Linked DNA regions of Tribolium castaneum. The main gene of each other region encodes a partner of the protein of the gene in region 2 in a complex. Links are inferred from orthologs where the notes say so. Each region holds a gene or a part of one and is shown on either strand. Other genes may lie near its edges.

What was found.
Region 1: gamma-tubulin complex component 2 (region 2) and nmdyn-D7 share a complex: the UniProt entries of both Homo sapiens proteins name them as parts of the gamma-tubulin ring complex. The link is inferred for Tribolium castaneum from reciprocal best matches to the Homo sapiens genes TUBGCP2 and NME7.

Annotation. Positions count from the first base shown.
Region 1 is NC_087396.1:11,132,861-11,136,787, reverse strand, and holds the start of nmdyn-D7 (nucleoside diphosphate kinase homolog 7), read right to left. Parts: upstream 2,732-3,927; 5' UTR 2,717-2,731; coding exon 2,710-2,716; intron 313-2,709; coding exon 1-312. UniProt on the Homo sapiens protein: Possesses an intrinsic kinase activity. Displays 3'-5' exonuclease activity with a preference for single-stranded DNA. Does not seem to have nucleoside diphosphate kinase activity.
Region 2 is NC_087402.1:3,136,341-3,140,267, forward strand, and holds the start of gamma-tubulin complex component 2, read left to right. Parts: upstream 1-1,327; 5' UTR 1,328-1,451; exon of another isoform or gene 1,452-1,530; 5' UTR 1,531-1,567; coding exon 1,568-1,620; intron 1,621-1,672; coding exon 1,673-1,849; intron 1,850-1,896; coding exon 1,897-2,509; intron 2,510-2,555; coding exon 2,556-2,684; intron 2,685-2,730; coding exon 2,731-2,907; intron 2,908-3,792; coding exon 3,793-3,927. Other genes in the region: post-GPI attachment to proteins factor 2, read right to left, coding at 298-431, 479-679, 732-1,158. UniProt on the Homo sapiens protein: Component of the gamma-tubulin ring complex (gTuRC) which mediates microtubule nucleation.

The DNA.
Region 1 (3,927 bases), on a different chromosome or scaffold from region 2:
AGGTGTGCTGGCGCGTGTTGCCGATGATTGTTTTGGTGCGGCAATCGGCATAATCGACGATTTTTAACTGGCGGTCGTAGATGCGGACCTTGTTGCCCACGAAGACGTCGTCGCGGCTGATGCACTCGTAGAAGGAGCGCTTGAGGAAGGGGCGCTTGAGGTCGATGTCGTAGAGCTCGACCGTGCTATCGACGGGGTAGTAATTCAGGAGCAGTCGCTTCTGGTAGGCCGAATCGAAGTCGAACCATTCGGCTATGAACGATAATTTATCACCGTAATCGGTGCCGAACGATGATGACATTGTCGGATTTACTGGAATGTGAAAGGCCGTGACAGACACGTCAAATGAAATACTAGTTGCGTTATTTAAAATTTATCGAAGAAGAGCAATTTAAACTTCCCTCTTTCGTGGTAAATTATTTATAGGCGGAAAAATATTTCACTTTCAATAAGCCCTGAAGTTATCTACTATTTTATTCCGGGTTGGAGCTGTTGTAATCTGCTTATGTGTAACCTACTAACATTTTACAAATAACGATTTATGAAACTTTACCTACAGTTTTAAATCGGAGAGTTACAACCCCCTGATAATAAATTTCAGAAATGCGTCATGTAATGCGAGATTTATATGCAAACAAGCTAATTACTATTTAAATACGATTCTTCACTTGAATATCAGGAAACTATCTTTGCATTAATTTGATTTCGATGTCTGCTGAAAATATTCATTTTTCTTTGCTTTTTTTATAAATGAAATTGTGGACTGTCTTTTCAATACTTATAGAATTAAGTGGAATTTTATATTTCGACACAGATCTTCCATTCCACCGTAAATCTATGTGGGAGTTATCGATGTCCGGTATCAAAACAATCAAAGGAATCTCAGCTTCAAAAGAATACTATTTGAAATGGTATTTCATACGAATTGTTGCATTTACATACGAAATGCACAAATCGTTAACTTCAGTAATTATTGTTATAAAACTTGAGTGAATTACGAGATACCTAAAAAATTGACCAAATCTGTGAAAAACTAACAATTACTAGGGAGGGAAGCGAAGTTCAAAACTTTTCTGTACCGAAAAATTTAGTACAGCGGATTCAAAACAAGGGCACGTTAGACCGCCTCGGTTTCAAACTCGGTATTTTAAGTTTAAAAAATAAAAAAAAAACAAAAAAATTAACAAATCTTAACAATATTTTTCAAAATGCTGGGAATGCGGTTAAAGATGCAAGAAAAATGTACAAAAGGTAGTTGTAGAGAATTTTGATACAAAAAATAGTAAGTCATTCTCTGTCTTACGGTTTACGCCCAAAAAACGATCAAAGACGGATTCGCTAAACGGTTGAAAAAAAGAAAATTTATTAAATTGAAATCTCTTTGTCAATTCTAACTTTGCAAATTAGTAAAAGTTTTCTTTTTTCGATTTAGTTTATTTGAGTTTATTCTGTAATTCATTATTAAAAGTATTTTATTAATGTTTAAACTGAATTTGCCGTGAAAAGGTTTAATTTCTGACATGGTCACTTTGTGCAGTCAGCCCACGATAATTCAGAAGAAAAATTTCTTGGTAAAAAAGCGTGTATTATTAATCTTGCTACCTAAAAATAGATAGAGCAATTACATTTAAACTCACAAGAATGCATTTCTACGAGTACAGTCATATCTATTCCTTACTGTTCCGGCTAATTAGATAAAAATAAAACTTTTGACCCACTAAGCAAAATACCAAGAGGTTAACAGCTCGTAATTACAAATTTATACAGCGTTTTGTCCATTTAATTAAGCGGGAATTATATTTTAGTGTGTCATCTGTTGAAACAAATAAAGACTTTTCTGATTTGAATTGTTCATTATAACAATTTCTAGTAGATGTGTATGTCAGAAGATACATTAATCAAAAAATTAGCGATGATATGGGAAATATCTGCAATAACCGTATTATGTTCAGGTATGACTACTGCACTTTATTACTACCAAGAAAATGAGTAAGACAAACTTAGATTAATTACTCCCGTTTCTACTTTATTACTTTAAAAAACTGAATGGAGTAGAAATTGGACGTGTGATTCTCAGTTTATTTATAACATGAATTTTATAAATAAGAAATAAAAAACAAGTCTAAAATCCTTAATCAATTATAATTAAAAATTATCAACACTATAAAAAATTATTGATAATAAAAGTATTTATTAAATTTTGCGTCGCACCAAAATAAGGAATATATTATTTACTACTGGAAGTAAATAATACACGCTCCAATGGAGACAAAATATTGTTTTTATGTTTTTTAAAATTCAACCGATGATTCGACATTTCCACTGCCCCAAAAAAATTGTTCAAATATGAAGTTCATATACTTCTCGAATGGCAAATTACGCACGAGAGGGATCACAATTTTAGCTACCTAGCAATTTGTCGAAAAATTCGTTAGAACAGCGTGGTTGTTTATGCAGATTCTGCTCACACACAACAGTGATTAAGTCGGTGTCAAATGAGGAAAACCCAATAGAATCGAATAGATTAAGCGATGCCTTAGAGGGATCCGAATGTTTATGAAAAGCATTTAGACAAAAGCCTTAACAAGGGTGTTTCAAGAAGAAGTGAAGTTGATGTTAAAAGGGTAGCAGAAGCAGTGCGGCAATTAAAAAGGGTAAATCGACGTTTGGGGCTTAGTGGATTAATTTAAAGGGAAAAAACCCACTTACTTAACATGAATATTTGAAGGAAAAAATAAAAAGTTAGATAATCCAAGATTAAAGATAAAACCTCCATCACGTTGACCAACGCAGCTGGTAATTTGCGGCCAGGAGACGTATTTTTCGTAAACAACCCAAAGTACATTAATCAGATAAAATTCGGAAATTTACAAAGACCGCGTCCACATATGGTCCCGTCACACTCGCCGGTTATTAACATGTTTTCCGTTAATGATTGAAAAGGTTTCGATTAGCTCCGATTTATAAACCAAACAAATCTCCCTCGGCTGGATGATAATTACGCTATCAGTGACAAACAACACGCAAAAATCGCTAATCTTTCCGTTAAATAGTGCGCTCTCAGGGGAAATACCCGATTCATCAGTGGCGCACTAACCTGAAGCCGCCCCCGAAACCTGAGTGGCAGCGTAAAGTGGCTGCGCCCGCCGCGTCCACAGGTGCTATATAACGTAGGCCACCAGCTATACGAAGTCGTCTTCGTGTTGTGCTTTTGCAACCAACTCCAGCCTCCGGAACCTGGATTTACCATCTGTACCGGTAAGTGACTCGATTTGCTCCCCAGCGGCTTCTGAAACCAAACCCATTTACGCTCAGACTGCTGAAAAAGTTATTTAAAAACGAATTTCGATAAAGTGCGTTATTTGGTATCAAACGCATTTCATTCCATTTCCTGAACTTAAAACGTGTATTAAAAATAATGCGGGGCTTTATAGACGCAAAATCTAATTAGGATATTTAATTTAGGGCGGGTTTTTACAATGCTTCACCGTAAATTGAATGGCCGAAGACCTTTCCAATCTTTAAAATAACGTTTACTTTAAATTGTTTCAAATAATTAAAACAATTTTAGTATTTCAAGTTAGTTTCAGAATTTATAAACGGTTCTCATTTCTCTTGCACTTCTTTGCATCAAACTTGCCCTGCTATAAATTAATTGAATTCTTGAAATAAAAATAGTAACATCAAAAGCTTCACCTAAATTATGACCAATATCGTATGTGTAAATATTTTATTATTGTAGCAATAAGGCTGAAGTTAATAAATTATTCCCAATTATTTACCTCCATTTCTATTTTTTCACATAAATATTTAATCGGCAATGCCTGAAATTATTCCCAGAAGATGCACTACATTGATCTCGTGTTAAAACAAATTTTACGCTTTAGGACTCGTTGAAGAATTCCGAATTCATATTTTCAAGCAGAG
Region 2 (3,927 bases):
ATTTTTAGGCAGTGTACATGCAGAATATATTATCTTATTACAAGTTAAAAACGTTCAAAACGTAGAAGACATTTCATTTAATCAACTCGTAGATCACGAACTTACAATTTACAATCTAAAATCTGTAAGTGCCATTTTTGGGAAAGTTATACGTTTTGAAGATCCAGAAAGTAAAATTTTCGAATACATATCGTTTTGGTGTGTGGGCAATAATTACAAATATACAATCTGTATGTCCATTTGATACTTTCCTACACAACGAAAAATTTATTGTATAACTAGCTATACAACTAAATATTATCTTTCTGTTAAAGCAACACCGTACCTATAGACCACCAAATCTTTATTTTTAAAATCTAAATAAGCAGTCATGTGGAACGCCATATTTGTTAATACTACTGTATATTCTGCCAAGGCAAAACCAGAATATACTAAAATGCAGAAAATTAAAGGAGCATTAAAAAAAGTAACTACTTACCATAAGGCTCACAATATGAGTTGTGCCTTAAAAAGCAATACGTTGCTACTAAAATAGATGATATGTTTGTGATGAGTAGTCTTTTCTTCCATTTCAGACTTTCTTTGTGGCGCTTTTTACAACGTCTTTGGAGAATGTAAATTAAAATCATATAAAACTCCGACATCAATATAAAGGTGATGAAGGCTTTTTCATGAACAGCTAAAACATTTTTAACAAAATAAAGGGGAAAATTCTCGTAAAAAACGTTTACGATAGTGCTGAGATGAGGTCCAAAAAGACAGTATAATCAACGAAATGTTTTCAACAACATTAAGAACACATGCGACGGCCCCCATCCATTGGTCATTTTGGTATAAAACGTTTTGGTGGTGTTGGAGGTAAACAAAGGCAATCGAGAATCTTGGCACAGCATGTAAAACTATAGCCGTTTGCCAGACTTGTCGTTGTGGTGAAAAATTTCCGATAGCCGCAGAAATGGACGGTAAAACATTAAACACTTGACAATGGGTGTAAGTGGCGGTTTCGAAATGAAAAATCACCGAATAAATAATGCAAAACAGGAAAGCAAACAACGGCAAACCCACGGTTATAATCGAAAATTTTTCAAAAGGCAAACGCAAAACTGTGGAAGTTTCGTAATCACTGTATAGTAACGCATACCGAGCTTCATTAGGCATTATTCGAAACACACTTCGCTAGATTAGATTTAAAAACTCACTTAACTTAATTCATTTTAGGTTAGATCAGCTGTTTGATTTGTTGATTGTTCCATTGATCCGGAATCTCGCGAATTGAGACGAACACCAAATGGGCGTGGTTTTAGGTATTGAACGCGAAATTTTATCCCGAATTACACCAATTTATGATGTAAAATTATCCAAAATGAGCTATGGAAGTATTAAAAATTGATTTAGCACCCTTTTGGTACTTTTTTCGTCAGTTTTTCAACCTTTATTGATTTGAAACGCCTGTAAGTCAGTCAACCAAAAATACACCAATTTTGAAAAATCGACGCGCTCATCTTGTTTTTGATTTCAAATGTTTCTTAGGTTAGGTTAATTGTTTTTGACAAGTATTATCGGCAAAATGAGCGAATTTAAGCTCCAGCACTTGGTTGCGGAACTTTTGAACTGTTTGGGGTGCGTACACGTGTTGTTTTCGCTTCAAAAAACCTAATTCTTGTCCATATAGTGCAAAAAATCCCCCCGAAAAACTTGTAGAAGCGTTACAAAAAAGTATCAGCAGTAGCACCGGCAAGGAATGTTCAGGTTCACAAGTGGCAATACAGAGTTACGTGCAACGTATTGCCGAAGATTTGAAAAATTCGGAACCATTTCTACTGAAATTTGAAGATCTAAAGCAGAAAAAGTGAGGTCTTGTGACTGGTTGCATTTTAGTTGACGTGAAATTTCCAGTGTGGATTGTTTAGGGCCGTACGTTCAGCTTCTGTATCACATATCTCAAGATAGTAGTGTTAGAAGCTTGTTAGGTAAAATGGATAAGCATTCGGAGCAAAAAACCGAAATAACGCGGGACGATTTGCCACAAGTTAGGAATCGGTTACGTCGGGAGGCTTTAAAACGGTCGCAAAAAGAGTGTTCTTCAAGCAGTATTCTCAACACTAGTACTAATCTTCCGAGGGCTAGCACCCCTTCTGTTACGTCTTGGGTCCAGAGACGGCCGACTTTATCCTGCGATTTTTCAACGCAAAGTTGTAGTACTATTTGTCCAGCTGTTCCAGTTGTGTCTCAAGAAAACATCCTGATTAAAGATCTGTTAGTTGTATTAATTGGTATACCAGGCTGTTACATCGAAGCAGAGGAGCTGAATGATCCTTACGCCCCTAGAACCTTTAAAATAAACGATAATGTACCTCTGCCTCTGCAAGAACTTGTTAAACAAATCTTGCCTATCGCCAGTCATTATTCGCTAATCCAGAGGTTTGCCGAAGAAAAGTTGAGGTTTGAGTTTGGGCAAGTTAATAACGCCTTAGCTGAAGAAATGAGCGCGATTTTGAAAGAACATCTAGTAAGTTGAAGGCCACAATTAGCGACTTTGCAAAGTTGTTTTTCAGATTTATGTCACCCAACTTCAGGATGAATTTGAAGCTGATAACTTAAATTTGCAAAAACTTTGGTTTTATGTACAGAAGCGGTTGCAGCCTTTTGGCATTACAGCAAACATTGCGACTAAGATCAGCAAAGTAACTACGTGACAATTTATTTTTAAATTTAATTTGTAATTTATAGTCGGATGCCAAAGGGGGAAAAGTTTTAAGTTTGCTACATGATCACATAATTGGGTCAATTGGTGATGAAAGGACACAACAACGTTGTGTTAGTCTGATGGAGGCTGCGTGTGTTCCGTATATGAAAATGTTGGGAATGTGGATTTACAGAGGAATTATTTCTGATCCAATCAGTGAGGTAACATTTTTAAAAGAAAAAAAAATTGAGTAACACTCATACAAAAACGCTTGAAGTTTTCCAATACGTCAGCCCTCGAACTTTGTGTGTTGAGCTTGTGTTTTCGCACTCGTATTATTAATAACATAATAACTAATATTTAAAATGATAAAACAAAAAATACTTTTTATCTTTATTGAAAATTATTTCCAGAAAAGTATGTTTTTTAGTCGAAAAACATTTTTGTTTTAGGGTGAAAGTGATCAAAATTGATGCACTGCCATTCTGGATTTTTTTTTGAATAATTGTGTCGTTAAAAAAAAAGTCCCACAAATACTATTTGTTCGTCACTATTTTTTGGATATTTAAAGTCATTTGCTTGGCTTTGTTTACCAAGAAAATGAAGATAGAAGCGTGAAATATTATCTTTTGTCATGACTATTCATAAGCTGAGCTTTTAAAATTTCAACATCTACAATTTTTGTAAATAATGCCGTTTGTAAATGTTTAGCTTTAATTACTATTTATTTTCTGAAAAAAATGAACACTCTGATACAGATTTATTTTTACGATGAAAAAAAAATAATTAGAACAAAAAAAATACTGCCACAAATGCGTTTGTTTCTCACGATTTTTGGATATTTGAAGTCACCTGCGTGGTTTTGTTTACAAAGAAAAATAAAAAAAAAGTCTAAAGTACTGTTGTTTTTCTTATCTTCTTATAATTGTTTGGCAATCGAATAAACGGAATTTGGAAATATTTTGAAAATTGTTTTCATAATAATCGCGTAACAACTTTCTAATTAAAAAAAATGTGTGATTGATTAAAGCTGGTAAATAAAATGAACGTAATTATTAAGCTAGAATTCAAAGAAAAGCAGTTAAAACTTTTACTTCGACTTTTAGTTTCTGGTAAAAGACAATGAAGTCATCCAGAAGGAAGACATGCCGGTCGATTATTCAGCCGACTACTGGGATAAAAAATACTCAATAGAACGGGAAAAGATCCCGAAATTTTTAGAGCCAGTCTCGGACATAATT